7 linked regions of the Mus musculus genome follow. The protein of the gene in region 7 purifies or fractionates together with the protein of the main gene of each other region. This does not show direct contact. Links are inferred from orthologs where the notes say so. Each region holds a gene or a part of one and is shown on either strand. Other genes may lie near its edges.

The links.
Region 1: the proteins of Usp10 (region 7) and Pten purify together in Homo sapiens (affinity purification with western blotting; 4 studies listed by BioGRID, with this or other methods). This does not show direct contact. The link is inferred for Mus musculus from reciprocal best matches to the Homo sapiens genes USP10 and PTEN.
Region 2: the proteins of Usp10 (region 7) and Eif4g1 purify together in Homo sapiens (affinity purification with mass spectrometry; 4 studies listed by BioGRID, with this or other methods). This does not show direct contact. The link is inferred for Mus musculus from reciprocal best matches to the Homo sapiens genes USP10 and EIF4G1.
Region 3: the proteins of Usp10 (region 7) and Ikbkg purify together in Homo sapiens (affinity purification with western blotting; 3 studies listed by BioGRID and IntAct, with this or other methods). This does not show direct contact. The link is inferred for Mus musculus from reciprocal best matches to the Homo sapiens genes USP10 and IKBKG.
Region 4: the proteins of Usp10 (region 7) and Snai1 purify together in Homo sapiens (affinity purification with western blotting; 4 studies listed by BioGRID, with this or other methods). This does not show direct contact. The link is inferred for Mus musculus from reciprocal best matches to the Homo sapiens genes USP10 and SNAI1.
Region 5: the proteins of Usp10 (region 7) and Prkaa1 purify together in Homo sapiens (affinity purification with western blotting; 3 studies listed by BioGRID). This does not show direct contact. The link is inferred for Mus musculus from reciprocal best matches to the Homo sapiens genes USP10 and PRKAA1.
Region 6: the proteins of Usp10 (region 7) and Sirt6 purify together in Homo sapiens (affinity purification with western blotting; 4 studies listed by BioGRID, with this or other methods). This does not show direct contact. The link is inferred for Mus musculus from reciprocal best matches to the Homo sapiens genes USP10 and SIRT6.

The regions. Positions count from the first base shown.
Region 1 is NC_000085.6:32,809,577-32,813,076, reverse strand, and holds part of Pten (phosphatidylinositol 3,4,5-trisphosphate 3-phosphatase and dual-specificity protein phosphatase PTEN), read right to left. Parts: intron 1,382-3,500; coding exon 1,240-1,381; intron 1-1,239. UniProt on the Homo sapiens protein: Dual-specificity protein phosphatase, dephosphorylating tyrosine-, serine- and threonine-phosphorylated proteins.
Region 2 is NC_000082.6:20,686,227-20,689,726, reverse strand, and holds part of Eif4g1 (eukaryotic translation initiation factor 4 gamma 1), read right to left. Parts: coding exon 3,350-3,500; intron 3,215-3,349; coding exon 3,096-3,214; intron 2,968-3,095; coding exon 2,795-2,967; intron 2,578-2,794; coding exon 2,452-2,577; intron 2,347-2,451; coding exon 2,265-2,346; intron 1,189-2,264; coding exon 1,090-1,188; intron 997-1,089; coding exon 862-996; intron 757-861; coding exon 675-756; intron 536-674; coding exon 395-535; intron 1-394.
Region 3 is NC_000086.7:74,436,181-74,439,680, forward strand, and holds part of Ikbkg (NF-kappa-B essential modulator), read left to right. Parts: intron 1-983; coding exon 984-1,102; intron 1,103-2,726; coding exon 2,727-2,879; intron 2,880-3,500. UniProt on the Homo sapiens protein: Regulatory subunit of the IKK core complex which phosphorylates inhibitors of NF-kappa-B thus leading to the dissociation of the inhibitor/NF-kappa-B complex and ultimately the degradation of the inhibitor.
Region 4 is NC_000068.7:167,537,052-167,540,994, reverse strand, and holds the start of Snai1 (zinc finger protein SNAI1), read right to left. Parts: upstream 2,801-3,943; 5' UTR 2,706-2,800; coding exon 2,624-2,705; intron 2,325-2,623; coding exon 1,797-2,324; intron 1-1,796. UniProt on the Homo sapiens protein: Involved in induction of the epithelial to mesenchymal transition (EMT), formation and maintenance of embryonic mesoderm, growth arrest, survival and cell migration.
Region 5 is NC_000081.6:5,171,361-5,174,860, reverse strand, and holds part of Prkaa1 (5'-AMP-activated protein kinase catalytic subunit alpha-1), read right to left. Parts: intron 654-3,500; coding exon 429-653; intron 1-428. UniProt on the Homo sapiens protein: Catalytic subunit of AMP-activated protein kinase (AMPK), an energy sensor protein kinase that plays a key role in regulating cellular energy metabolism.
Region 6 is NC_000076.6:81,624,738-81,629,014, forward strand, and holds the start of Sirt6 (NAD-dependent protein deacetylase sirtuin-6), read right to left. Parts: upstream 2,801-4,277; coding exon 2,735-2,800; intron 2,586-2,734; exon of another isoform or gene 2,155-2,585; intron 1,881-2,154; coding exon 1,753-1,880; exon of another isoform or gene 1,691-1,752; intron 1,162-1,690; coding exon 979-1,161; intron 380-978; coding exon 320-379; intron 1-319. UniProt on the Homo sapiens protein: NAD-dependent protein deacetylase, deacylase and mono-ADP-ribosyltransferase that plays an essential role in DNA damage repair, telomere maintenance, metabolic homeostasis, inflammation, tumorigenesis and aging.
Region 7 is NC_000074.6:119,948,360-119,951,859, forward strand, and holds part of Usp10 (ubiquitin carboxyl-terminal hydrolase 10), read left to right. Parts: intron 1-58; coding exon 59-114; intron 115-319; coding exon 320-423; intron 424-1,999; coding exon 2,000-2,099; intron 2,100-3,500. UniProt on the Homo sapiens protein: Hydrolase that can remove conjugated ubiquitin from target proteins such as p53/TP53, RPS2/us5, RPS3/us3, RPS10/eS10, BECN1, SNX3 and CFTR.

The sequences.
Region 1 (3,500 bases), on a different chromosome or scaffold from region 7:
TGATGCCTAAACTATAGGAAGAACATGAGTTCCTATCCCCTTTCCTTCTCAATGAACCTAGTGAAGTTCCTAGGTCAATTGCTTTCAATAGTCCATTGTGCCTTGTACTCACACTTTTAAAATTATACTAATATACTTAATCAGTATGGAAGTTCCTTAGAACTTTCCAACAAGCTATATAAATAAATTAGGGGCCCTTAACAAAGTTGCCATACTCATGGGCAATCACACCTATCTGACGAAGAAACTGATTCTCTACATAAAAATTATTTTAGAAAGAACAAGTTAATTTAATGAAGTATTTCATGGAGGCGAAAAACTAAAATCACTGACAAACTGCAAACATCCATAAAATAATATCAAGGGATTCTAATAAGTGACATCTGATACTATGACGTTATATTGAAAATACAAATAAAATATCTTAAGTGTAAAACATGACTGACCACTCCCAGGTGTCACTAAGGTAAGAGAAATTACTACAAGCACACACTGATGTCATGACGTCATACTTACCAAGATTTCTTTATTTTACTAACAAGCAAACTCAGTGAGGAGATGACAAGTCCAAGCCACAGGCTGAGAGCTTGACTTCAAAGCTACACTTAGGTTTTCTCCACACATCCCAATTCACACACCCTTTTATTCTCTATATTTGAAGGGCTCCTCTCTTTCTGTCTCTGACAGTGAACATGTTTCCCTCTGATGAGGACCTGGTTGTAGCCAGAGGCCATTCTCACACTGATCTGTCAAGAGTGTCTCTCAGATTCTCACACTGATCTGTCAAGAGTCTCTCGGTTATTTTGTCAGAACAGAGACTGCATCTGGTGGTTATAACATAGAATATTTCTCCCATAAATATAATTGACTTGAAGAACACCAAAATTGCCAGGTGTGGTGGCTCACACCTTTAATCCCAGCACTTGGGAGGCAGAGGCAGGCAGATTTCTGAGTTCAGGGACAGCCTGGTCTACAAAGTGAGTTCCAGGACAGCCAGGGCGATACAGAGAAACCCTGTCTCGAAAAACATAAAAACAAACAAACAAAAAAAGAACACCAAAATTCATTGGGTTAGCTTTCTTAACCCAGTGAGTTGAACAACTGAACTAATTAATTCCAACTTCAGAAATATACTCCTTTTAACCTGGTAAATGTATTTCTAAACATTTACATATACATTTAGATATGGTTTTAAAAAGTTTTCCGACACACAGACAGCTAAGAATTTAGAGCACTTACTGCAAGTTCCGCCACTGAACATTGGAATAGTTTCAAACATCATCTTGTGAAACAGCAGTGCCACGGGTCTGTAATCCAGGTGATTTTTTAGCAGGTAGCTATAATAATATACATAGCGCCTCTGACTGGGAATTGTGACTCCCTGATAGGCCCAGGGGGCAGAGGGAGGAGGGAGACAAAAGAAAAAGAGAAGTCAAATTCAAAAGGAAAGTTTCATTAAAGTTATTATACAAAATTGCTATAACTGGGTTATCCCAAAGTTTCTCCTTTAAGTGGCTAACAATCAAATCTAACTCAGTATTAGAATAAATAAGAGCAATAACAAAAGAATATTCTTAAAATGTAGTTATTAAATACCTCATTTATTCAAATATTAAATAATGCTCTGATCTATGAACCCAATAAGCAAAGGCCACTGTGTATTCAAACAGACAGTCAATGGTCTCTGTACTGCAGCTACACATACCCAAGTCTCCTCTCAAAGATGGGTTTACTAGGCAAGTCTTCACAAACCTGTTTACATACTTTCTAAGCAAAATCATATCAGAATCAGTACACTAGAGAAACGTGTTGCCTCTGTGCAGGAAAAATGAGATTCTGACCTTAGAGTCCAAAAAAAAAAGGAAAAGAGAGAGTATGCAGCTGAATGATAAACATATTCAATACAACTTGTTAACAGAGGCAGTAAGGGGTATCGGTATCCTTGTGCTATATCCACTCCTTGCAGACATTAGGGAAGCATAAAATGGCTTAGAAAATATTACAAATATTTAAAAGACATAATTCATATGACATTTAAAAGGGGACCCTAACCAGGAATGGTGTCCCACACCTGTAATCCTACCACTAAAGGGGATGAAGCAGAGGACTGTTCCGAACCAGCCCAGGGTTTATATAGTTCCAGGCCAGCCGGAAACCAGTCAATCAATCAATCAATCGCATGTATGACCCAAAACCCATGCATATGTTTTTTTCTTAGTTCTTGAAATATTTTGTGAGTGTTTTGCCATATGTATACCTGGTGCCCACAGAAACCAGAAGGCATGCCATGAAACTGGAGTTACAGATGTTTGTAAGCCATTGTGTGGGTACTGGGAGTTAACCTGGGTCCTCTGCAAGAACAACAGTGCTTTAAACCAGCTATCACTTCAGCCAACCTAGCCCATGCCTATATACATTTTTTAAGGTACCACGTAACCATATATATGCCTAAAACTTCGGCATGGGGGAGCAGAGACAGGCAGATTCTTGGGATTCACAGGCTGGCCTAGCCTACTTGGTGAATTCCAGACCAATTAGAGACCCTGTCTGAACAAGATAGATGGCACCAGAGGATGGACATCCAAGGAACATACAGACACATACATATATACATATAGACACACACACACAAAGACATACATACCATATGTGTAACAATTCATTCACTAATGAGTTAATATTTTTCTATTCACAATATAACAGTAAAAAAGTCAATATAAGGCAAATAATAAGCATTTAATCTAACAGTTTAAAGTAAACAGCAGTTTTGGCATGGCAGTACCCTCTTGTAATCTCGGTACTTGGGTACAACCAAAATCGTAAGTTTAAGGCCAGCTTGACCTATGTGAGGCCCAGTCTCAACAAACAGAATTGCAGAAAATAGGTATTTTATGTTAATAAGAAAAAGGTATTACAATGCTCTTTAGTTTACTGATGGCCTCTCAACTTCTACTGTGATAAGGACTCTAGACACAGACACCCTTCTGCTGGGGAAGAAGACAGCATACAAGCTAAGAAGTATAGAAGGAATACGATGTCTAGCAAATACAGGTATATGAACTCTGACCCCACCCTCTTCCCCTCTCTCTGTCTTTCTCTGTTTCTCTGCTCCATATGTGTATCAAAATGGATAAGTGGCAGTATACAACTTTAATTCCAGAATTCAGGAGGAAGAAAGAAGCTGGTGGATCTCTGTGCATTCCAAGCCAACAGGGCTACAAAGAGAGACCCCGTCTCAAAAACAAAAACAAACAAACAAAAATGGATATAAACCACTTGAAATCATGATTGGCAATTTAAGACTTTGGCTAGAGTGAAAAATCACATACTAAATAGTCAAAGCTTATATTTGAATTCTGAGAAAATATAAACTTCCAATTTGCTTCTTTAAAAAAATTAATACAATAATACAAACCTCCTTAATAGAATTTACATGAGGATAAACCAGCAAATTCAGTTATATAAAAGAAGTTAAAATAAACAAAAAAATATAGTAGCTG
Region 2 (3,500 bases), on a different chromosome or scaffold from region 7:
GAGGCCAGCCTGGTCTACAGAGTGAGTGAGTTCCAGGACAGCCAGGGCTACACAGAGAAACCCTGTCTTAGAAAAAACCAAAAAGGCAGGCAAGCACTTCAGCCTTGTATCAGACAGATGGGCACATGGTATCTGAAAGATGCTACTGTTTATCACCTCTGCATTGCTGTCATCTACTGGTCAAGCACAAAGCGGGCAGGCAATCAACCCTCCAGGCTTAGATTAACTCACTCCATTTGTAGGCAAGGAAACAAGCAGAGGGTAGGGTAAGTAACAATCAAATCACCATGGCATTTTGCTCTTTCCCCCGCCTCTCTTGGCTTGAGTACCTTCCATGACCAGCTTCTATCTGGCAGCCCCTCTGTCCCACCCTCACCCCTGCAGCCTGGCTTACTGGCAGGCTGTTCTAAGGTCACTACAAGGGCCTGGAGAGCATAGAGTGCTTGTAGCTCCTTCTGCTCATCACACAGGTATTTCTGCAGCAGTCTTGCTCGCACTTTCAACACTTGAACATCCACTCGGAGAGGAGTCTCAACTACAGGGGGGGGGGGGGAACAAAACAGAGTAATGAAGACTTCACCTGGCTTGGCTGGCCCTAGAAGGCCAAGACCAAAACTCCTTTCCCCCCATTAGATTGCCTGGCTCACCCTTGTCCCACCACTCCCCTGGCTTACAGATAATTGCAGAATAACAGACAGTTGTCATGAGGGCTCGAACTAATGTATTGGATGCTATCTGCTGCTCATTTAGGTTGGCCTGTACAGAAAAACAAATAGACTCTAAGTATTCACTCTTGTTACTCCCAAACCATCCACCTCAAAAACTACCTCTTTCCTTCCCCCATATCCACGAAAAACATACGTCTATCCAGTCGAACACACGCTGATTACTGCCGCCGTCCTTCAGCAGCTTCTCTAGCTGCCTACGAAGCTCCTCAAAGGCAAGTGTCCTCTGGCCAGGAGCTTCAGATTCTTCTCCCAAGGTATATTCCACCTTCTATAAACAAATGACCAAAACTAGTGTAAAAGATGAGGGAAAGATGAGACTAGCTAGCCCCAAATGCAGAATAAGTGAACTCCAGTGTCAAACCTTTTCAGCCACAAATGAGCCAACGTCTTGGCCCTCTGCTAGAAATTCCCTCCAGCTCAGCCCAGCCTCTCGCCACAGCATCCCCACCTTTTTGGGACCCTGAAAAACAAAAGACCAATTCAGCATCTCAATAGCTACTTCTACACATGGCCCTTGACTCTTAGGACTCAATAGTTCAATAATCATACTACATAGGCACCACCCTTCTATGCCTAGATTAAATAAACATCACAAGGAATAGGAACTCACTACCACCTCAGTGGTATGACATTAGGATGGGGGAGCGCATCTAGGAAAAGTATCACTTAGAGTTTGTAGAACTCTTAAGAAATCACTGGATCTGCCGGGCGTGGTAGCCACGCCTTTAATCCCAGCACTCGGGAGGCAGAGGCAGATGGATTTCTGAGTTTGAGGCCAGCCTGGTCTACAGAGTGAGTTCCAGGACAGCCAGGGCTACAGAGAAACTCTGTCTCGAAAAAAAAAACAAAAAAACAAGAAACCAAACAAAATGCCTATTGGTTTCCTACATTCAGAAAACCTTACACAATAAGGTTTTCATCTTCATACCTACACCTTCATCTTCACAAAACGTCCCTTTCAATCTTGTCTTACCCCTCAGAGTTCTAGACATTCAAACTTCACACTACATACCCAACTTCTTACAACCACGGGCACCACTCTCAACTTGACGTTTTCAAGGCCCTACATTCCAGACACCAATTAGCTTTCATAAAATAGTTGTAGTGCTCATCAAAGGTGGTCTTCCATTGCAAACACTCCATGGCCGGTCCTGAGATACTGTGATACTGTCTCCCATTTCACTCTAATCACTGAGGCTCCCATCTCTTCCTCTGCTCTGTACCAAGCTGGAGTTCACACTGTTTAACTGCTATAATCCTAGGATCTCGGTCTATAGTGAACTGTTCAAAGAAACACCAGTCAAATGAATTAGCCACGGGTCTAGGGTCTTTCTTTGCCAATCTTCCTTCAGCCCAGGAAGAACTCACGACACAAACTACCTATTTAACACTTTTCCTCTTTCAAGTATCAAAAGTAGTCCTAGCATTACAAATACTCCAGGCCAACAAAGGACCAAGAGGCTCCATGGTCACCCAAGGCAGCCAAAGCCATAAAAAAGTCTCTGAATATATCAACCTTTGAAAGGTTCAACTCACCATGCTCTTGCATAAGAGACCCAGGATCTCCAGCAATAAAGAAGTAGCTTTGCCCATGGGTCTCAGAGGCTTCGTAATTTCCCTGTAAGAAAGATCATCAATCCCGATGGCCTCCAAACCCAAGTCTGTAACTTGTCTCACTTCCTCCATTCTGTCTCTCACACCCACAAAGGGAGGGAGGGCCTACCTGAAGAGCTCTCCCATGGGCACCCCATCTTCCTGGAGAATAGGTGTAATCAGTTCTGCCAGGTAAAGCCATACATGAGGGATATCAATTTCCATGTCCTCAGCCAATTCTAGTGTTTCATACAGCCTGAAAAGGGAATAAGGGGTCAGGGCATTTAGAGATGGGTTAGACACCCTGCTTCTAGGGAAATACACAACTAAAAATCAAATGTGGAGCCCCCCCCCACCCCCCGAAACATTTTCCAGACATGAGACAACCTCCAGCTAAAATCTGAGATTTCAGGAATCCCACAAAGGAGAAGGAATTGGTGAGCTATGCGGATACGGACTAACACGAATCCTACCCTTGATAGTACTGGGCAGTAGAGAGGTGCCCCGCACAGAGCAGTTGGTGCAGTAGTCGCCCCATATGCTCACGAGCAATGGTACTACGCTCCAGCGTGGACTCGATACCAAGCCGTACGAAGATGAAGAGCAAGGAGGGTGAAGCCAGCTCCTGGACACACTGTACTGCCTCCTGAGGCAGTACATATGAAGAAGAAAACCATCATTGCCGGGTCCCCAGCCAATATAGACCATGCCAGTCAGCATGCCTCCCCTTCCCCAACCCTTACAAGCAATCACTAGTCCCTCCCCAGTGCCAACCTTCATGTCATTGAGATGGAGATATTCCTCAATGATGGCCTTAGATTTCTTCTCCACCTCATCCACAGACAGCGCAGCCTTTGGAGGGCTCACTGGAGGTAGAGTGGCTTCCCGCTTCACTACAGGGGAAGAGCTTTTCAGTGACTCGGCTTAAAAGAATCCAGAGTTTCTCAAGAAAGTTGGGGAGTACTCAGTCCCATATCACCCAATAGCCTTTCCCCCCATTCCTCTACAAGCCTTCCCTTCCTTCTCACCAGGATCCCGACCACGATCCTCTGTGAGGCTAGCTGCCTTGCGGAGTCCCTCAGGCTGGGATGGCCGCTCTCTACTTCGCTCCTCCACTTCTTTGCTAAAACTTCGCTTGGTGGCAGGTGTTCTGGCACGATCAAGTCGGTCCCCACGGTC
Region 3 (3,500 bases), on a different chromosome or scaffold from region 7:
AAATCAAATGTAGGTTTTTGTACTTGAAGACCGGGAGTCTGGGTTCTTTCTGATAATTCCATTTAAGAGAAGTAGCACTCAGGTTTTTGAGACAGGGTTAGGGTCAAAGGAAATACATGGGCTTTGAGGTGATAGAGAAAGGAATCATGGCAAAGGTTAGGCCTATGTCAAGTGTCAGTTTCTTTAACAGCTCTGAGCATTTGCAAGTAGGAACTAGGAAGGGGCTTGGTACATTACACAAATGTGATCTTAAGCTGTTAGAAGGCATGCTAGAGCTAGAGAGATGACTCAGAGGTTCAGAGCACTGACTGTTCTTCTAGAGGTCCTGAGTTCAATTCCCAGCAACGACATGGTGGCTCACAACCATCTGTAATGGGATCCGATGCCCTCTTCTGGTATGTTTGAGGAGAGCTGCATATACATAAAATAAATAAATCTTTAAAAAGAAGGCATGCTAAAGTTTGGTTAACCTTAAAGTTTGTCTGAGCTGAGCATGGTTTGTACTCAGGACAGCTTGTGATAGTTGGTTTCTTTTCTTCCATCATATGGGTTTTGAAACTCAAACTCTGGTCATCAGCCTTGGTGGTGAGTACCTTTTATCTGATGAGCCTTCTTGATGGTTCAGCTCTCAGTATTTAAAAAATTCCAGTCTCCTCTCTTATTCTGAAACTTCTCACCTGTTGTATAATGTGGACTAGGTGTTAATTTTTGTTGCTGTCTTTGAGTCTAGCCTCCTTTTACAGAGTCTCAAAAGAGACTGAGAAAGGTTCACTACCACTTGAGAGTCAAGGTTGGTGACTGGAGGAAGGCAAATAGCCATTGGGCTAATGAGGCTTCAAAGTACCAAGGTTTATAGGTCTTGAGAGGCAGGAGAAGCCCTCCATATATCAGCTGCTTGAAGGCTGCCTTAGGTCTTAGAAGTGCCAAAAGTGGGAAGCTTGGGAGAAAGCAGTACTGATAGGGAATGACCTTTTTTCTTGTAGCAGATGGCTGAGGACAAGGCCTCTGTGAAAGCTCAGGTGACATCATTGCTCGGAGAACTCCAGGAGAGCCAGAGCCGTTTGGAGGCTGCCACCAAGGATCGGCAAGCTTTAGAGGGAAGGTGAGTGGGGAGGGGAAGCTAACCCAGGAGGCCCCTTCCAGGGTTTTTAATGAGACAAATGTAGGAGTTCTAGGAATTCCTCTCTCTGAAAGGAAGGACCGAGTCTTTTTAGATTCCCCAGAGCCCTCAGGGCTTCCTTGTGAGAAGCCTGGTCTGGTATTCAGGGATTTAGTTCTAGCTGTTGCTGGAAAGACTCTGAGTCTGTACTGGGTGCTTAGTTAGGGCTTCCGTTGCTGTGGAAAGATAGCACGACAATGACAACTTTTATAAGGAAAACATTCTATCTGGCTTACATTCAGAGGTTTAGTCCATTATTGTCATGGTAGCAAGCATGATGGTAAGCAGACAGACATGATGCTGGACAGGTGTCTGAAAGTTCTTCATCGGGATTGGCAGGCAGCAGGAAGAGAGAGTAAACCAGTGAGCCTAGCTTGAGCATCTGAAACCTCAAAGTCCATCCCCAGTGATCCGCTTCTTTTAACAAGGCCACACCTACTCTTAACAAGGCCACTTATCCTAATCCTTTTAAATAATTCCACTCTCTAGAATCCTACGGGGGCCATTTTCACTCAAAACATCATACTGGGATCTAGCTTATTCTTTAGGAAGCACTGCAGGGCCCCTGAGACCACACTCAAGAGCTCACTATCCAGACTGATATGCAGTGGGATTCTACCAAGGCAGAAAGTCCTAGGTGAACAAGACTGGATACATTCCACAGCAACCCTGTGAATAGCACAGAGCCCTCATGAACTACTTCTCATTAAAGACTATGGATTCCATGTTTCTGTTGGGAGTTGTTCACGTTGGTATCCTCTGCCAGGCATGTACCAGTATTTCTGAATTCTGGCAGAAAAGTGAGTTTGACTGACTTTGTCAACTAATGGTCTTGGGACTGTCACTCACTCTCTTTTGCCAAGGGGGTTAGGTTGCCACATGAGATCATTTAGTTACAGGCATGGGTACTGTTGTGCCTCTCATACTGCCTTGCTGCTGTCCTCCATATAGTTAGTGAAGCTAACAGGCCTTCTCAGTGCAATAGGTAGTTATTGTGTTTGTGGAGTAGTGGGTTGGGGCTCCTGTCCTGTGGGAGGGAGGAGAGTTTGACTTGGGCTCAGAGAGCACTGGTGGTGGGTTGGTGGGGGGAGGGCAGTGTGAGAAAAAGCCAAAGGGGAGCAGGCCCAGTAGTCCAGATCTGCCTTGTCAAAGTTGGGATGATCTGCTGTCAGTGGCTTCCTCAAAGACACATGGAAATGTCCATCATTGTCTTTGTAATGAGCACACAGGGAGGTACCAGGGTGTTGAGGCTAACACCGGAACTAGAGTTTAAGGGAAACTGTGGGGTACTGTAGGCCAGGATCAGAAGATATGGGTGATAGAGGTAAGACACCATGAGCTTTTACAGTGAGGGTATAGAGGCAGAGATGAATTCTCTGCTGAGACTATTGATGCTATATCTTGTCCCATGGGGCTGTACAACCTAGGTATGGAACCTGAGCCTCTAGTGAGGGTGCCTGGGACTAGAGCTAAACTGTGAGTTGCACAGTAGTTCCTGCCTATCCTTGAGTCCAGTGCTAATGAGCTCACAGCCTTCTCAGGGTGTTCTTTTTTTGTTGCATGTCAGGATTCGAGCAGTTAGTGAGCAGGTCAGACAGCTGGAGAGTGAGCGGGAGGTGCTACAGCAGCAGCACAGCGTCCAGGTGGACCAGCTGCGTATGCAGAACCAGAGCGTGGAGGCTGCCTTGCGAATGGAGCGGCAGGCTGCTTCAGAGGAGAAGTAAGTGCCTGGGAGGGTTGGTACCAAGAGATCTCAGAGTGTGGAGGCTGCCTTGCGAATGGAGCGACAGGCTGCTTCAGAGAAGTAAGTGCCTGGGAGGCTTGGTACCAAGAGATCTCACAGCACCCGTGGTGCTTTCTGCCTTTTAGGGAGCCCTGATAGGGACTGATTGTGTATAAAAGGGCTGATTTTTCTCCTTTTGCCTTGCTAATGACAGAGTCAACTATTATATGTAAACAGGAATATTTTCTACCCATATTCATGTTCACTACATGTCCTACATAGGTTCTTTTCATCACAGTTAAAATATACTCTTGGTGTAAGGAAAGCAAAGAGCCATGGTGCCTTCAAGCTGGTCCTAAACACTCCTTATCTGGGCTCACAATGCCTGTACAGGCTCTCAACCTGCTATTGGTATCTGGTTCAGCATCCTTTTGAGTTTTCTTTAATTTAGAACAGTCTCCCTGCCTCTACATTTATTTTCTTTTTGGTGCTAGAGATGGAGGGTAGGGCCTCAAACACACTAGGCAACAGTTCTATTCCTGAGTTGTACCCTAGCCCTTGTTAGAAACATTCCAAGATGTTGGCTTTAAGGAAAACATGAACTATGTAGCAGCCAAA
Region 4 (3,943 bases), on a different chromosome or scaffold from region 7:
GCCTCCCGTCCCTCCCAGCCTGCTAGTCCACAGGCGGTGCCCTTTGGTTGGATTCTAGTGATGGAATTCGGGGCTGAGGAATGGCGCCTGGGTGTGCTGAGCCTCTGGATAGAGGAAATCTCAGCAGGGATCCTGCGGGATCCACCCACTCAGCAGGTATTCACTGAACAGAGCCGCTTTCAGCCCCCCTAGGGGGCACAAACCCACACAAGTCTTCAGCTACACAGGTGGGGCTCCAAAGCCCTGGGTGGTGGTGGACCTTGGCAATCTGTGGGTCCCTACAAGTAAGGGGTGTTGCCCCCTCCCTAGAATGGCCTAACCACTACCTGTCCGTTTAGCAGGGACAGGCGAACTGAAGTACTTAACAAAAGGGAGGTTTCAAGATAACACAGGGTGGGATGGAGCTGGGAGTCTCTGGGCTTGCACAGGAAGTGTAGACACCCCCCCCCCCACACACACACACACTCTCTCTCTCTTCACAGATCCCCGACCCCCAGACGCCTTCATAGTGTTCCTGGCAAGTGTGAAATCGGCACCAGGCCGGCTGGGACAAAGGCCACTAAGGGGGACACTGTACATGTGATACCCCCTGGATTAAAGGGGCCTGCCGTGCAATGAGCCAGCAGCTGCGGCCAAGAACAGGTGCTGGGCACCGCTGCCCCGTGCACCTGCTCTAACCCTGCAGGCCCCCACCCCCTGGGCTACCATTAAGACACACAATGGAACTCCTAGAGAACTGGGTGGTGCATTTCAAGGAGGGTTTTGTCTGAGCCATGCCTTTACATCAAAACAAAGTCCCTGGGGGGTGGGGGGTGGTCGGAGGCAGCCTAGGACCCTGAGGGCTTCAGCTCTTCCCCAAAGTAGAGCCCCACAGCTTAGCAACCCAGCCGGAGAGAGGCAGCCTGTTACACTTTTATAGGTTAAATCTGAGGCAATCCGTGCCTGGGGGGGGGAAACGGGTAATCTTATTCAAGTAATAAAGGTGTCAGTGAGACCTGCAAATACCTCCCTGCCACCCCCAGGCCTCACTGCCCCAATGCTGGCCACCACAAGAGACGCACAGCTCTACCCCAAAGCCTGACACACTTTCCAAAGAGCAGCCCAACCGGAACCCCCACCAAGCCTGGCTGAAGCCTTCCCTCACTTCTAGAAGCTTCCCACGTGGCCCAAGGCTGAGAGGACAGCAAAGTCATGTCTTTGTTTCTCTTCTTAAAAAAAAAAAAAAAAAAAAAAAAAAAAGATGTGTCTATTCTATTCTTGTCCTACATGGATTGGTATGTTGCCTGCATGTATGTCTGTATGAGGGTGTCAGGTCCTCTGGAACTGGACTCTTAACAGGCAGTTAGTTAAGTTGTGAACTACCATGTGTGCTGGGAATTGAACTCAGGACCTCTGGAAGAGTAGCCAGTGCTCTAACCACTGAGCCGTCTTCATAGTCACTGGGAAGTCATTTCTTAGTGGCACCTGCACCTAGCACTTCACTCTACAAAGACCCCACGAAGTGTTCTCTGATACATTTTAGAAACGAGGAAACTGGGGAAGTTCTCGACTCAGGATTCAAGGCCAGGTGCAGAATATCCTGTCTAGCAATATCCTGTCTGACTTCTACAGTGTGGGTTGAGCCCGGATAGGGAACACCTCTTCACTCCTAGCCTCGAACAGCAAGGTACAGAATGGAGAACAACCAACATCTACTTTGTCCACTGCTTGGCAGCCTTAGGAGTAAGTGTTGAGTCCCCCCAGGGTCTAAGGCCAAACAGCCCAGACTCAGAGCTCAGCTATGCACACTCACTCACCAGTGTGGGTGCGGACGTGGCCCTGAAGCAGCCAGGGCCTAGAGAAGGCCTTTCCACAGGTCGTGCAGACACAAGGCAGCGTGTGGCTTCGGATGTGCATCTTCAGAGCGCCCAGGCTGAGGTACTCCTTGTTACAATATTTGCAGTTGAAGATCTTCCGCGACTGGGGGTCCTTGGCCACCGAGAGCCTGGCCAGCTGCTTGGGAAGTTGGCCCAAGCCAGGGAAGGCGATGAAGGCCTCGGCCTCCAGGGAGGAGGCCGAGGTGGACGAGAAGGACGACGGCGCCGGCGAGGGCGGGCTGGGCGGCTGGGAGCTTTTGCCACTGTCCTCATCGGACAGCGAGGTCAGCTCTACGGCCTTGGGGCTCTCCCGCAGCGGGAGGGTGGCCCAGGCAACCGGCCGCACTTGGGGTACCAGGAGAGAGTCCCAGATGAGGGTGGGCAGCGAAGCGGCGGGGTTGAGGACCTCGGGCGGAGGGATGGCGGCCAGCAGGTGGGCCTGGTCGTAGGGCTGCTGGAAGGTGAACTCTGCGGGAAGAGAAGAGACAGCAGGGAGTCAGCTGAGCGGATTCTCGGGGCGCCAGGTGGGGGGGCTTCCCGCCCGCCCCTCCCCTCCCCCGCCCGGACTCCGCAAAGCTACCCCCGCCTTCGAGTCTTCAACTCCCGGAGCCTCCCCGTCCCGGGTCAAAGACACCCTCGGTGGATCCCAACTGCCAAGACCCGGAGCTCCAGATCCACCTGTCGCGCCCGCAGAGCCCGATTCTCACCTCCCCCCAGCACCCTTGGGATCCCCCCCAGCCGCCCGCGTCCCGCACCCCACCACGCACCCACACACGCGTCCTGCAGCTCGCTATAGTTGGGCTTCCGGCGGGGGTCGGACGGCTTCCTGACCAGGAAGGAGCGCGGCATGTTGGCCAGAGCGACCTAGGTAGTCGGGGTCACCGGGTCGCGCAAGGTCGGTAGTCAACTCCGCTCGCGAGGCCCGGCCGCACACTACGATCCCCTAGCAGCAGCAAATTCCTTTAAGTACCAGGGCTGGGGGCGTGACCGTACTGTTGGTCACGCCCCTTTGTCAAGGCTGAGCCAATGGCTGGCGGCGGCGCGGCCGGAGACTGAGACCGGAGCAGGTGCGCCTGGGCTGCTGGGGCTCCCGCCGCGTGGCGCTGAGATTCCGCTTGGGCTCCTCCCGGACCGGACCGCGCGGCTTCCGAGCTCCTCGGGCGACCCCTGGTGGCCGCGCCTGCCCCACGACGAGCGCGGTGCCCCGCAACATCCCCGAGCTGCTGACCTTTGGGCGCTGGGGAGCCAGAAAGTGCGATGATATGCACGCGCTTAGGGGTTCCTGGAACTGTCTACACAGCCCTGAACAAAACACTACCCAGGGATGCCCTACGCAAGGATGGCTTCCCGGCCGTGGGAGAGAGAGACAGACAGAATAAACAGAGGATTCGAATACTAAAGGGAGGTGTGATTTGATGAAAGGAGGTGGGGAGAGACAGCTGTGACTGTCAATGAACGGTCACCTGACAGGGGAGGGTGTCTATGACTTCCTAGAGGAAGTGAAGAAGCACCGAGGGGAAAGGCCCGGGGTAAGAATCAGTAACTTCTGCCTGTCCAACCTTTGAGAGCAGGTTCCAGGATGAGGTTGGTGTTGGGCAGACCCTGAGGGGTCCGATTTCCTGGCCTCGGGTCTTTGGAGGAGTTTGGACTTTGCCTTACAGGCACTGGGGAGTCACGGAAGGACTTTCAGCTGAGGACGGACGTGTTTAGAGTTGCATTGTGAAACACCAATAAGGGCAGGTGCGAGGCAGAGGTAGCAAGGACCAGGGCTAAGGCTCCCGACTTCCTGAAAATCGTGTTGGAACGTTCACAGGGAGGAAGGGTGGCCTCGGAAACCAAACCCACACCCCCATAGTATGGGGTTATAAACACCTATAAAGCAGAGGGTCTACGGAAACCTCTGGGGCACCAGCTAGCATCGAGTCTCTAGGCACTGGAGGTAACAACAGGGAATAGAATCAGACTCCCAGCACTGGGGGTGGGGGGTGGGGGAGTGGGAGGATGGTCAGACAACAGGCAACCATCGTGGAGAACACTGCCCTCTGGGTAGATTTAGTTCATCCATGAGTCTCCCTGAGTCCAGAGGG
Region 5 (3,500 bases), on a different chromosome or scaffold from region 7:
TGGTGCATGCCTTTAATCCCAGCACTCGGGAGGCAGAGGCAGGCGGGTTTCTGAGTTCGAGGCCAGCCTGGTCTACAAAGTGAGCTCCAGGACAGCCAGGGCTATATAGAGAAACCCTGTCTCGAAAAAACCAAAAAAAAAAAATAAAAATAAAAATAAAAAATAAAATGAAATTTCTCTGGTATCTAGAGACTCGAAAAGGTAGAAAAATACATTGGTTTAAAAATCACCTAATATTGCTGTGCAATGGTAATACCACGCGCCTTTAATCCTAGCACTGCACTCGGGTGGCAGAGGGAGGCAGGGCCAGCCTTGTCTTTAGAGTGAGTTCCAGGATAGCCAAGACTACACAGTCCAGACAGACAGACAGACAGACAGACAGATGGTTTGTTGGCTGGTTGGTCAAGTAGGCAGATAAAGTGAGTTACCTGATATCTTTTATTGCGGCCCTCTTCATGGGATCCACCTGCAGCATATGTTTCAAAAGGCTGATTACTGAAGGGTTTAAGTACTGAGGGGTATAAAAGATCCCATCACATATCTTCTTAAAAAGAGTTGGCACATGGTCATCATCAAAAGGGAGGGTTCCACACAGCAAAGCATAGAGAATGACCCCGCTGCTCCAGATGTCCACCTCGGGGCCTGCGTACAATCTGCATAGAGAATGCTAACTGTATTAATCACAATATCAAAAAGCATCGGTCAACACTCTTCAAATACAAATACTTTATGAAAAATATAAGAAAATAATTTTTAAAGAAATCAGTGGTCAGAATATGGTATCTATAGTGGTTGTTGCACATCACACATAAAGATACTAGTCTTATCAGTATTACCTGTTTAAAAATAAGCTATTTTGTAACTTGTGATCCATGGGTCAAATTGTACTACCTTACTATGACCCTCAAACTTCCTACCAATAAGGTCAACCCTTGAGCCATCATGATCAATGTTGATTTGAGCCACAGGGATAGTTTTTTTTAAGTACCTTTTTTGTTCCCCCACCCTCACCTTTAAGTAACTTTTAGTGTGTGTGTGTGTGTGTGTGTGTGTGTGTGTGTGCACATGCATGTGCGTGTGTATGGTGTGCACATGCCACAGTGGGTGTGGAGCTGAGATGACAGCTCTGTGGAATCAGTTCTCTCCTACCTTTACCCAGGATTCAGGGGTCAGACTCTAGGCACTTGGCAGCAAATGTTTTACCAGCTGAGCCAACTCGCTGGGCCCATGATTCAAGTCTGTAGTGACAGACTCTGAACCCATTTCTCCTAAAACCCTCACATCACAGTTCAGGAAGCTGGAGCTGCAGAAGCAAGCCAAGGGCAGTGGAGCTCACAGAACACTCGCCCTCTTCGTGCGTGAGTGCGTCTACGTGAAGGAAGCACTGGAGACACGGATTCTAACTAGCTGCAAACCAGCTGAATCATCCGAGGCTGCCTTCAGGGGGAAAACGAACCCTCAGAGTGACGAGAGTGCTTCCTTCCTATAGACAGCAGTAAACACTGTTCTCAAAATGAGTGCTCCTATTCACACAGACCTCAAGGAAAGACATCCAAACTGTACATTTCCCCAAGAGCCCATTTTATGCATGCTTGAACATGACGCATGCCTTTTTTCTTTAGTTATATTCCCTGTAGCATCTAGATTTTGAATTTTTCTCAAATCAAAGGAATTAAGATAGAAAACACAAATGAATCTTTTTAATTCACTTCATTACCTTTTCTTTGAGCAGTCAAAAAAAAATAAGCACATGAACATAGAAAGCACAGGGATTTTTTTTTAAATTAGGTCCATCACCATTTGAAGCATTTAAACAAGGAAATGGTTGAGGTGGACGGGATTGTGGGCACTGGCGAGCAACAGGCCTCCCCTACCTCATTAGTGTTTCAGCAGCAATGAGGAAGCAATGTGTTTTTGTTTGCTTTGACTTTTACTTGTTTTTTATTTCTTTCTTTGCTTGCTTGTTTTTGCAAGAGCATTTTATTTATTCCCAAGCTGGCCCTGTCTCACTAAGGAGCCTGAGCTGGAGACAAACTGCTGTCTAACCTCCTGGGTAAGGTGCACCACCAAGCCTAGCCAAAGCGTTGATCTTAAAAATAAATTCTCTACGCCAGCAAGATTTTGCTGAAAGGACCCTGATATAGCTGTCTCTTGTGAGGCTATGCGGGTGCCTAGCAAACACAGAAGTGGATGCTCACAGTCAGCTATGGGATGGATCACAGGGCCCCCAATAGAGGAGCCAGTGAAAGTACCCAAGGAGCTGAAGGGGTGTGCAACCCTATAGGTGGAACAACATTATGAACTAACCAGTACCCCGGAGCTCGTGTTTCTAGCTGCATATGTATCAGAAGATGGCCTAGTCGGCCATCATTGGGAAGAGAGGCCCATTGGTCTTGCAAACTTTATATGCCCCAGTACAGGGGAACACCAGGGCCAAAAAGGGGGAGTGGGTGGGTAGGGGAGCAGGTTGGGGGAGGGTATTGGAGACTTTCGGGATATCATTTGAAATGTAAATGAAGTAAATACCTAATTTTAAAAAATGGAAAAAAATAATAAATTCTCTGAGCTGGAGGGATGTCTCAGCCATTGAGAACCTGCGCTGTTTTTATAGAGGTCCCTGGTTTAGTTCTCACCCCCCCCACACACACACACACACAAGGCAGCTTACAACTGCCCGTAGCAATAGCTGAAGGGTGAGGATTGGGGGGGTGGGGTTGGGGGGCTCTGACCTCTGTCAGCACCTACACTAATGTACACATACCCTCACACAAACACACATACATATATGGTTTAAAATAAAGTCTGTCTTTTAAATTAAATTTTACAACTTTAAGCAAATATCTTTTCCCAGACCACTACCCCACTTCCAAATTTAGGCGTGCCTTCTCTTTGTTAATGAACTGTCTCTATCACAGAGGAGGAAGAGGAGGAGGAGGGAGAGGAAGGAGAGGAGGAGGGAGAGGAAGGAGAGGAGGAGGGAGAGGAAGGAGAGGAGGAGGAGGAGGAACTTGAACCTTGAACAAAACAAGGAAATAAAACACAAATTAAATTTTGTTTTCACGCTATTTAAAAAGTAACTAATGAAAATACATCCGTCCTTTAGTGCTAGATAGTAGTTCAGAGTTCAGCAGTCTTACACTTCAATCTCTAGCAGATCTAGATCAAGACTGAACATAAATGAGTCTCTCTCCTTCCTTCTCCCTTTTTATAACCCTCTTGCCCCTCACCTCACCTCGATTTTCCTTGATACCAGGCCTATATAGCCCTGTCTTGGCATCCATGTGCGATACTCAGGCTATAGGCATGCAATACATTCAGCTGGTCTGTTTTTTTAAAGGACCACTTCTTTAGTTTCCTTCCTCATAAAACATGAAGCTACTACATGAATGCCAGCTATTTGAATACTTATACAACTACACGTGACGTTACACTTGTAACTCTGTTCTGCTCTCTGTGCGGTCTAGTTTGGTTTGGTTTTCTTGAGATGGTGTCATGAGAAG
Region 6 (4,277 bases), on a different chromosome or scaffold from region 7:
AAAGAACCCCTAAGAGGGAGTCAGGGGCCAAAGCTCAGGAGGCACAGTCCTGCTCAACACCCCGAGGCTCTGGTGTGCAAGCCATGTTGACACCCAGCCCAGAGCCATAGCAAAGGCAGGGCAGGGAGAACCCCTCATTGCCAAGGGCATGACCAGCTTCTCCCTTGGGGGGCTGTGAAGAAAGGGTTTGCCCCATTTGTCTACGAGCCTTTGTTGGTCTGTTTTCATCTGACTGTCTCTGGCCTTCTCTAGGCCATGCTAGGACCCTGAGCTGGCTTAGGGGAGGAGCAGGGTCTTGTGTTACACGGGCAACACTCACGTCTTACACTTGGGACATTCCTCTACAAACATGTTTCCGTGCAGCTCTGCCAGCTTGTCCCTGCAGAAGAAGATGCCAGTAAGGACCCTTCCCAGATCCTGGGGCTTGGACCAGCTGCTCAGTCTGCCTCCTCCTCCAGAAAGCCTTCCTAGGGGGCTCACTCACAAGGGGCGTCCACTTCTCTTTCCTGGAGGATGTCCCAGCCTGTCCCATTCTGAGGAACTGTTGCATGCATAGCTGTCTGACGGTGTCTTCACAAACTCACAAATACCTCCTCCCCACTACAAAAAACCTGTTGGCTAGCCGCGGCACACCCCTTTAATCCCTCCATTGGGAGGCAGAGGCAAGTGGATCTCTGTGAGCCTGATCTACAGGGCAAGTCCCAGGGTAGCCAAGACATGGAGAAATTCTGTCATGTACTCGCCCTCTGCCGCAACAGTCAGTTGGCCCTAAAGCCCCTGCCAACCTCCCCACCCCACCCCAGTGAGGGGTGGAACCCTGCCTACATCCCCCCAATTTGACCAAGTACTGCCCGGCTTTGGGCTCCGAGCCTTCCCCCTCTTTGCATCCCTAATAAATGCCCCTGAGCTAGGGCACCCTGGTCCAATAAGGAGGAAGAGATGCAATTGAGCCCCAGCCCCCCGGCCGACTCATCGGACCTGGGGAAGCCCGAGCGCACGTGCAGCCCGTCTACGTTCTGGCTGACCAGGAAGCTGAGGAAGCCCATGCGTTCTAGCTGAACCAGGGCCATGTGGGTCTTCGAGGGCCGAGCATTCTCGAAGGTGGTGTCAAACTTGGGGGCCAGGCCGCGTTCCTCCATGGTCCACACGCCATGGGGGCCTCTGAGGATAGCAAGCAGAGGAGGACAGGCACAGAGGTCAAACATTCATTTTCCAGGCTGTGGGCTCTTCCTGTTAATGCTGAAGTCAGCCCATGCTGGCCCCAGCCCCGTTCTTAGGGTGGTTCTGTATCCTGTGGTGGAGACAATGACTGCCGGGTAGGCAAGAATTCTAAAGAGCATGGGACGTCTTCATGAAAGAGGCGGAGGGGCTGAGGGTCTGGGGGTAAACAAAGGCAGGGGAGCTAGTGGAGCTGGGGCTGAGTACTGGTTAAGACCGGCTGCGGGTTCCCAGAATGCTTTACAGTGGTCATAGGCTGCCACCGAAGGTTATGGGTGAGCTAGTCACTCCACAACATTGAGTCATTCTGACCCTAGAAAACCCAGTGGCTGGCCGAGCTGCATGAATACATTTCCCAGCATGCCTTGCAGCTACTACATTATGTGGGCATGCTCTGATCCTTGGGCAAGTGGAGTTTTTGCTGGGCCTTTCAGAGACATAGGAAAACTGAAAGGTCCTTCTGCCACCTCACCTTAGTCCCTAGAGGTGTATCAGCAAGAGCCCTGCCTCAGTTTCCCCTCATTGTTCACCGACCTGAAGTCGGGGATGCCAGAGGCGGTGCTGATGCCGGCGCCCGTGTGGAAAACCACGCTGGAGGACTGCCACATTAGCCGGGCCAGCTCCCACACCTTGCGTTCCAGCTCCTCTGGTGGGTCGAAGATCTGTAGGGTCAGAGGGCAGGAGGAGGCAACACGTGACCTCCCAAGTGGCAGGCCTCCTGTGGGTCAATGCTCTGTCTGCCCCTTCTCAACATCCCTCAGTTCCAGCCACACTCTTAACACATCGCTGTGTCCTACCCCAGGGCCTTTGCACATGCCGAGCCCTCTTCCCAGAGTGCTGTTCCTGCAGGCAGCCACTCCTTTGTCCTGGTCTGGTTGTGGCCCACGTGACCTCCCCACTGACGTCATCCCCCATCCTGGACTTTAGATAACCCACCTCTCTCCCCTAAATCAAGATGCAGCTCTACTTGTCTAGGGGCTCCGTTAACATGAGGCAGGCAGGGCATGGTGTCGCAGGCCTTTAACACCAGTACTCGGGAGGCAGAGGCAGGAAGATTCCTGTGAGTTCGGGGCCAGCCTGGGCTACAAAGAGAGAACCCTCCACCCTACTACACCCCTTCAGAAACAACAAAGACTGACAGCCCCACACTCAGGATCCATCTGGCCCAGATTCAGGGAGGAGTACAGAGTGGGGTACAGGGATGCCCCCAGGAAAGGGTGCCAGCTTCCGGCCCTGCAGATCTTCCCACAGCTCCAGGTTTTCCCTGACAATTAAGACGTCCACTCCCTGACCTGACGATTTGGTCTCGTTCCCATTAGCCCCTCACTCCTTCCCTGACCCAGGTTCCTCCGTGTCACCCAGCCTGAGCAGTGGGTGTCACTTCCCGCCCCCTCCTTCCAGGGAAGTCCCTCCCATTGTCTAGACTCTATGTTTCATGCTGTTCCCACAATGCCCCGCTTCGCCCGGCCGCTCCCCGTCTGGGGTCATTCGGTGACTCGAACACTGCAGCTCTCACCTCGGGCAGCCCGCACTTGCCCTTATCCGCGTAAGGCGACAACCCTGCTGCATAATTCACCGACATCGTCGCCGGCGCTGCCGCACGGGAACAATAAAGTTTCCCTTGTTGAGGCCGCTTCCGCCGGAAGTGGTGAAGGGACGGTCGGGAAAGAGTAGCCGCCTTCCCTAGATACGTGCCTGAGGGTGGGGTGGGTACGTGGAGGTGAAAAACAGCATTCTTTCCAGAGCGCATGCGCCCTCCTGATGCAGCAAGCTTAGTCTTCAGTGCTGGCCGAGACTACCTCTCTGACTTAGTGGATTCCCCAGTCCTGGGATCCGCGACCAGAGCCAGAAAAGTGATGAGGCCACTCACAGGAGTCGAGGCAGGGGGATTGCGAGTCCCAGACCAACTCCCTGTTTCAAAAGAGACAACATCAGCAAAACCCAGAAATGAAACCAAACAAAGCAAAACAAAAATCCACAGTTCTCAGTGTGTAGAGCCCTGCCCGGAGTGCTTATAGCACTGGCAGGAGGGGACAGAAAGTTCGAAGCCACGCTAGGCTACATGATACCCTAACCTTTGTGACTGTCATCCAGGGTCTGCCTGACTCTGGCTACAGGAGAGAATGAATGGAAAACTGGGGTTCTTGGGCAGAGGAAAGACCTCTGGGCCCCCTGCCAACATTTCCTGGGTTAGTTTCTGGAGTGCACCTCCCGGAATATCACAGAGCATAGGGTTAGGTCCACAGAACTGGGCGAGTTCCACGTGTTACCCAGAGGTGCCCAGAGATGCAAGGAGAGAGGTGAAGAGCCCTGCTTCCGTGGCCATCTAGAGATGGGAGGCACTATCTGACCATTCTGCCTGTTGGTAATCAACAGACACAGGAGCCATGTGATGGGTCAATGGCAGCATATAACAACCGAAGCCTCCTGATCCCCGTGGAGACCCCAAGAAAGGCTTCGAGGAGGCAGGAGCACACAAGGAGGTGGGAGAGGCCGTCCTTGGGGCTGCCCATCTGAGCAAGCTGGCTAACAGCAGCTTGTCTCCTCCCTTGGCTCATCCGTCCCCCGCTCCCCCACCCCAACCTGATCGGGTGTCACCTCTACTCTGCTGCTGGTGGCTCGCAGCTGGAGCGGGTAACCAGAGAGGCTGCTTGGACGCTGGGTTCCGGTCTGGAGTCGCCTGAGGTAGGGGGATGTGGGTGAGGGAGGCCAGGGAAGTCTGGGTGCTGGTGAGGGGTGCTACCTGCAACAGTATGAACACACGCATCTGCACACTTGTGACAGGTGCACACATCCCACGCGGGAGCCAAGGCCCAGGCCCAGTGCGCAGCGTCACCTGTGCTGTGTCACCTCTTCAGAAGGCAAACCCTTAAATCCACAGGCCTTCCCTGCCACCTTGCCGTGGCGATTTCCTTCAGACTGGTAGCATGTGGACAACTCTTTTGGGTGTTTTGTCACCCACCCTTGGTGGTAGGTGTGGGGTGAAAGTGAACCTGATTAGTAGAGGAGGTGGGATCAGTGAATGGATGGATGGATGGGTAGATGGGTGGGTGGATGGG
Region 7 (3,500 bases):
GCCACCGTGCCCAGGCCTGCTCCTAACGTGAGTTCTGCTTTGCTCTTTCTCCATCTAGTGTTCGGCTCATGAATGAGTTCACTAACATGCCAGTGCCTCCCAAACCCCGCCAAGGTGAGTCAGAGCTCGCGCCGGGATAGGCGCCTTGTCACTGGGGACACGGAGCGAGGGGGTGGCGTGTGGTGAATGTGTGGTCTTACTGAAAAAAGTGTCTATTTAAACCAAGGTGTTTTCCCCGTGTGATGGGAGTTTGGGTGGATTTGCTTTCACCTCTCTGTGGTCTCTTTACTTACCAGAATCTTCTGTTTTTTTCTTGCAGCTCTCGGGGATAAAATCGTGAGAGATATCCGCCCAGGGGCTGCCTTTGAACCCACATACATATACAGACTCCTGACAGTCATCAAGTCGAGCCTGTCTGAAAAGGTCTGGGGTGCTCTGTGGTTGCTATGGAAACTGCTCCCAAGAACTGGGGGAGGGGACCATGCCTACGTCCTAGAGCATAGGGGCCAAGGCAAGAGGATCTCTGGGAAGCTAAGCCTAGCCTGCTACAGAGCAAGTTGTAGATGACCCTGAAGTGGCTGTTGGCGCATGCCTCGAGCTGTGACTTGGTGGGGTGAGAACTGGGTGAGGTTTATGGTGGAGACACTCAATGACTTAACACGTGCCAGTTACCCACATTTAATAGCATTGAGACCCAAGGACGGAGTCTCACTGGCTCTGCCAGCCTGTGAATCCACCGCTGATGGGCAGAGCCTGGCTTCTGAGTCTGACCCTTGTTGCTGCAATGTGCTTGAGTGGGGGGGGGGGGGTTCCTCCTCGTCCTGGAGTGCTCCGCCTCCATCTTAGTCCTGCTCAGGCTACAGCAGTGAGTCCATCAACTCAGCCATTGTAGCCTGGCTTTTCCTAAAATCCTGCTAGCAGGTAACTAAGGGCAGGTGAGCGGGTGGGCAGGCAGGCGGGCAGGCGGGCAGGCGAGCGAGCCAGGCGGCCTTCCAGTGGTCATTGTCTAGAGCATCCAGCTGGTCTTCCAGTGCCAAGTCTAATGCATTGGCATGAGCAGTGCAATGCAGGTATAGACAGGAAGCTTACTCAGAGTGGAAAAATAGTAAGAGAATGCCATTTAAATGAATAGTCTGGAAGCTGTATTGCTTTAAATAGAGTGAGCATGGACTTGCAAACTTTATATGCCCCAGTACAGGGGAATGCCAGGGCCAAAAAGGGGGAGTGGGTGGGTAGGGGAGTGGGGGTGAGTGGGTATGGGGGACTTTTGGGATAGCATTGGAAATGTAAATGAGGAAAATACCTAATAAAAAATTAAAAAAAAATAGAGTGAGCATCCAGGTACACAAAGACACCAGCTGCACAACTTTAGCTTTTCCTTTCTCCTCACCCGCTTCTTTTCCCTCCCTCCCTCCCTCCCTCCCTCCCTCCATCCCCCCCCCTTCCTCCCTTCTAAGATAGGGCTTCTCTGTGTACCCCTGTCCTGTGCACTCTGTAGACCAGGCTCAGAGATCTGCCATGCCTCTATCTCCCCAGTGTTAGGATTTAAAATCCTGAGCCGCCACCACCATCCCACTAGCTTTTTTTTTAAATGCCTGTGATACAGCTTTTCTTGTTTTGGAGTTTCACTTCCCACTACTTGGGATTTGGGGTGCTAGGAATGCCTCCCAAGAGTGGGGATTAGAAGCACAACCAGAAGTGTAACGACAGTGTGCAGATGCAGTGGAGTGGAGGTGGAAGGCACCCAGGGACCTTCTAGAACTGTGGACGTTTTCACAGCGCTGAGTGGCGCTATTGTCTAAGACCAGCTTGTGTGTACCAGTATCTGTGCCTAGGAGGTTAGCTATAGAAATAGGCTACAGAGTTCTCATGGCAACTCTGGGGATTTGGGTTCACTGGTCTAGAGCATTCATCTAAGGTGTAGTTTGCTCTAGGTGCTGGGGCTTCTATAGGCCTTACTCCAGCTGGTTGGAATTAATGTGCCCATGTCTGTCCTCAGGGCCGGCAGGAGGACGCAGAGGAGTATCTAGGTTTCATCCTCAATGGACTCCATGAAGAGATGCTGAGCCTGAAGAAGCTACTCTCACCCACGCACGAAAGTAGGTTCTTCTGGGTGAGACTGTTTGCCTGATAGTGGCTTCAAGGAAGGTCACGTGTCTGTGCTATCGATACATACACATGGGCATGCATGTACATGTGCAGGCATGCACAGTTAGAAGTCTCCTGTCCATCAGCAGTGCTTAGCATACATCAAAAGCCAGCTGTTGTTCATTTCCTAGTAGAGCAGTGAGAAAGTTGGGCTTGGATAACTGAAATGTACCCAGCTCACGCACATGTTTCAACTTTTACTCTAGAGGGAGATTCTATAGTTCCTGTTCCGTTGCAAAGGCTTTGCTCGGGCTTAGGCTTCCGGGGGGGTAGAGTCCATCACAGCGGAGGGCACACTGGCAAGCTAGATGACCACGCTTACCCACACACAGCGAGCAGAGAGTGGACAGAGCATAGAGCCAGGCTGTAAGCCCCAGCCAGTAATGTCCTCTCCTCCAGCCAGCCTCTGCTGCCTAAGCAGTGCCACCAGCCGAGAGCTAAGTGTGGAGTTCCGTGAGAATTTCACATTCAAATGACCTCTGAGATACAGAAAGACAGAAGCGAGTGGGAAGACCCCCGTGGGTGCAAGCTCACTCCAGACTGCTCTGCTCGTTTGCCTTAGGGATGGGAGGTTGGCGATAATTGCCCCTGCTGAAGGCCTCCTCTTCGAGCATAGCTTCTTCTCTCAAGCCACAGAGTCTCTTCAGATTTTTCCAGTTGTCCAAAGACAACTGTGAAATGTGAACGTCTCTGGATTTTGAGACAAGGTCTTTCTCTGAAGCTCTGGCTGGCCTGGAACGCTTAGTCTTTGTGCTCTAGCCCGTCTCAGTGCCCTGCCTGCGTGGCATTTCCAGAGCTTGGTGTCTGAGAGTGTCCAGTGAGGCTGGCTGCTTCAGTTGCCTACTGTGACTTTCAGTGTAGAGCATAACTAGATCTTCTTATATGTGTGGATTTGCAAGACAGGATTTCTCTGTGTAGCCCTGGCTGTCCTGGAACTCTGTAGTCCTGGCTGGCCTTGAACTCACAGATCTGCCAGCCTCTGCCTCCCAAGTGCTGGAATTAGAGGTGTGGGCCACCACTGCTTGGTCACCTGTTTTGGTTTTGGGGTCTTTTTTCTTTGTGGGGTTTTTTGTTATTTTGGTCCTTTCTGAGTGTGTGTGTCCATCCATCTGTCCACCTGCCCGCCCACCCACCCATGTGCAATTGTAATTGTGTGTGCGCGCACGCGCTAGAGAGGTTTCTGAGGTAAGGTGCAGGTCAGAGGACAAATCAGGAGTCCGTTCTCTTCACCACGTCACCGCAGGAGTTACATTCTCATTGTCAGGCCCGGAGAACGTGGCTTCACCCGCCGAGCTTCTCCCTGGCCCTCATGAGTCTGTTTAGCCAGCTCTTATCATAGAATCTGTGCGGAC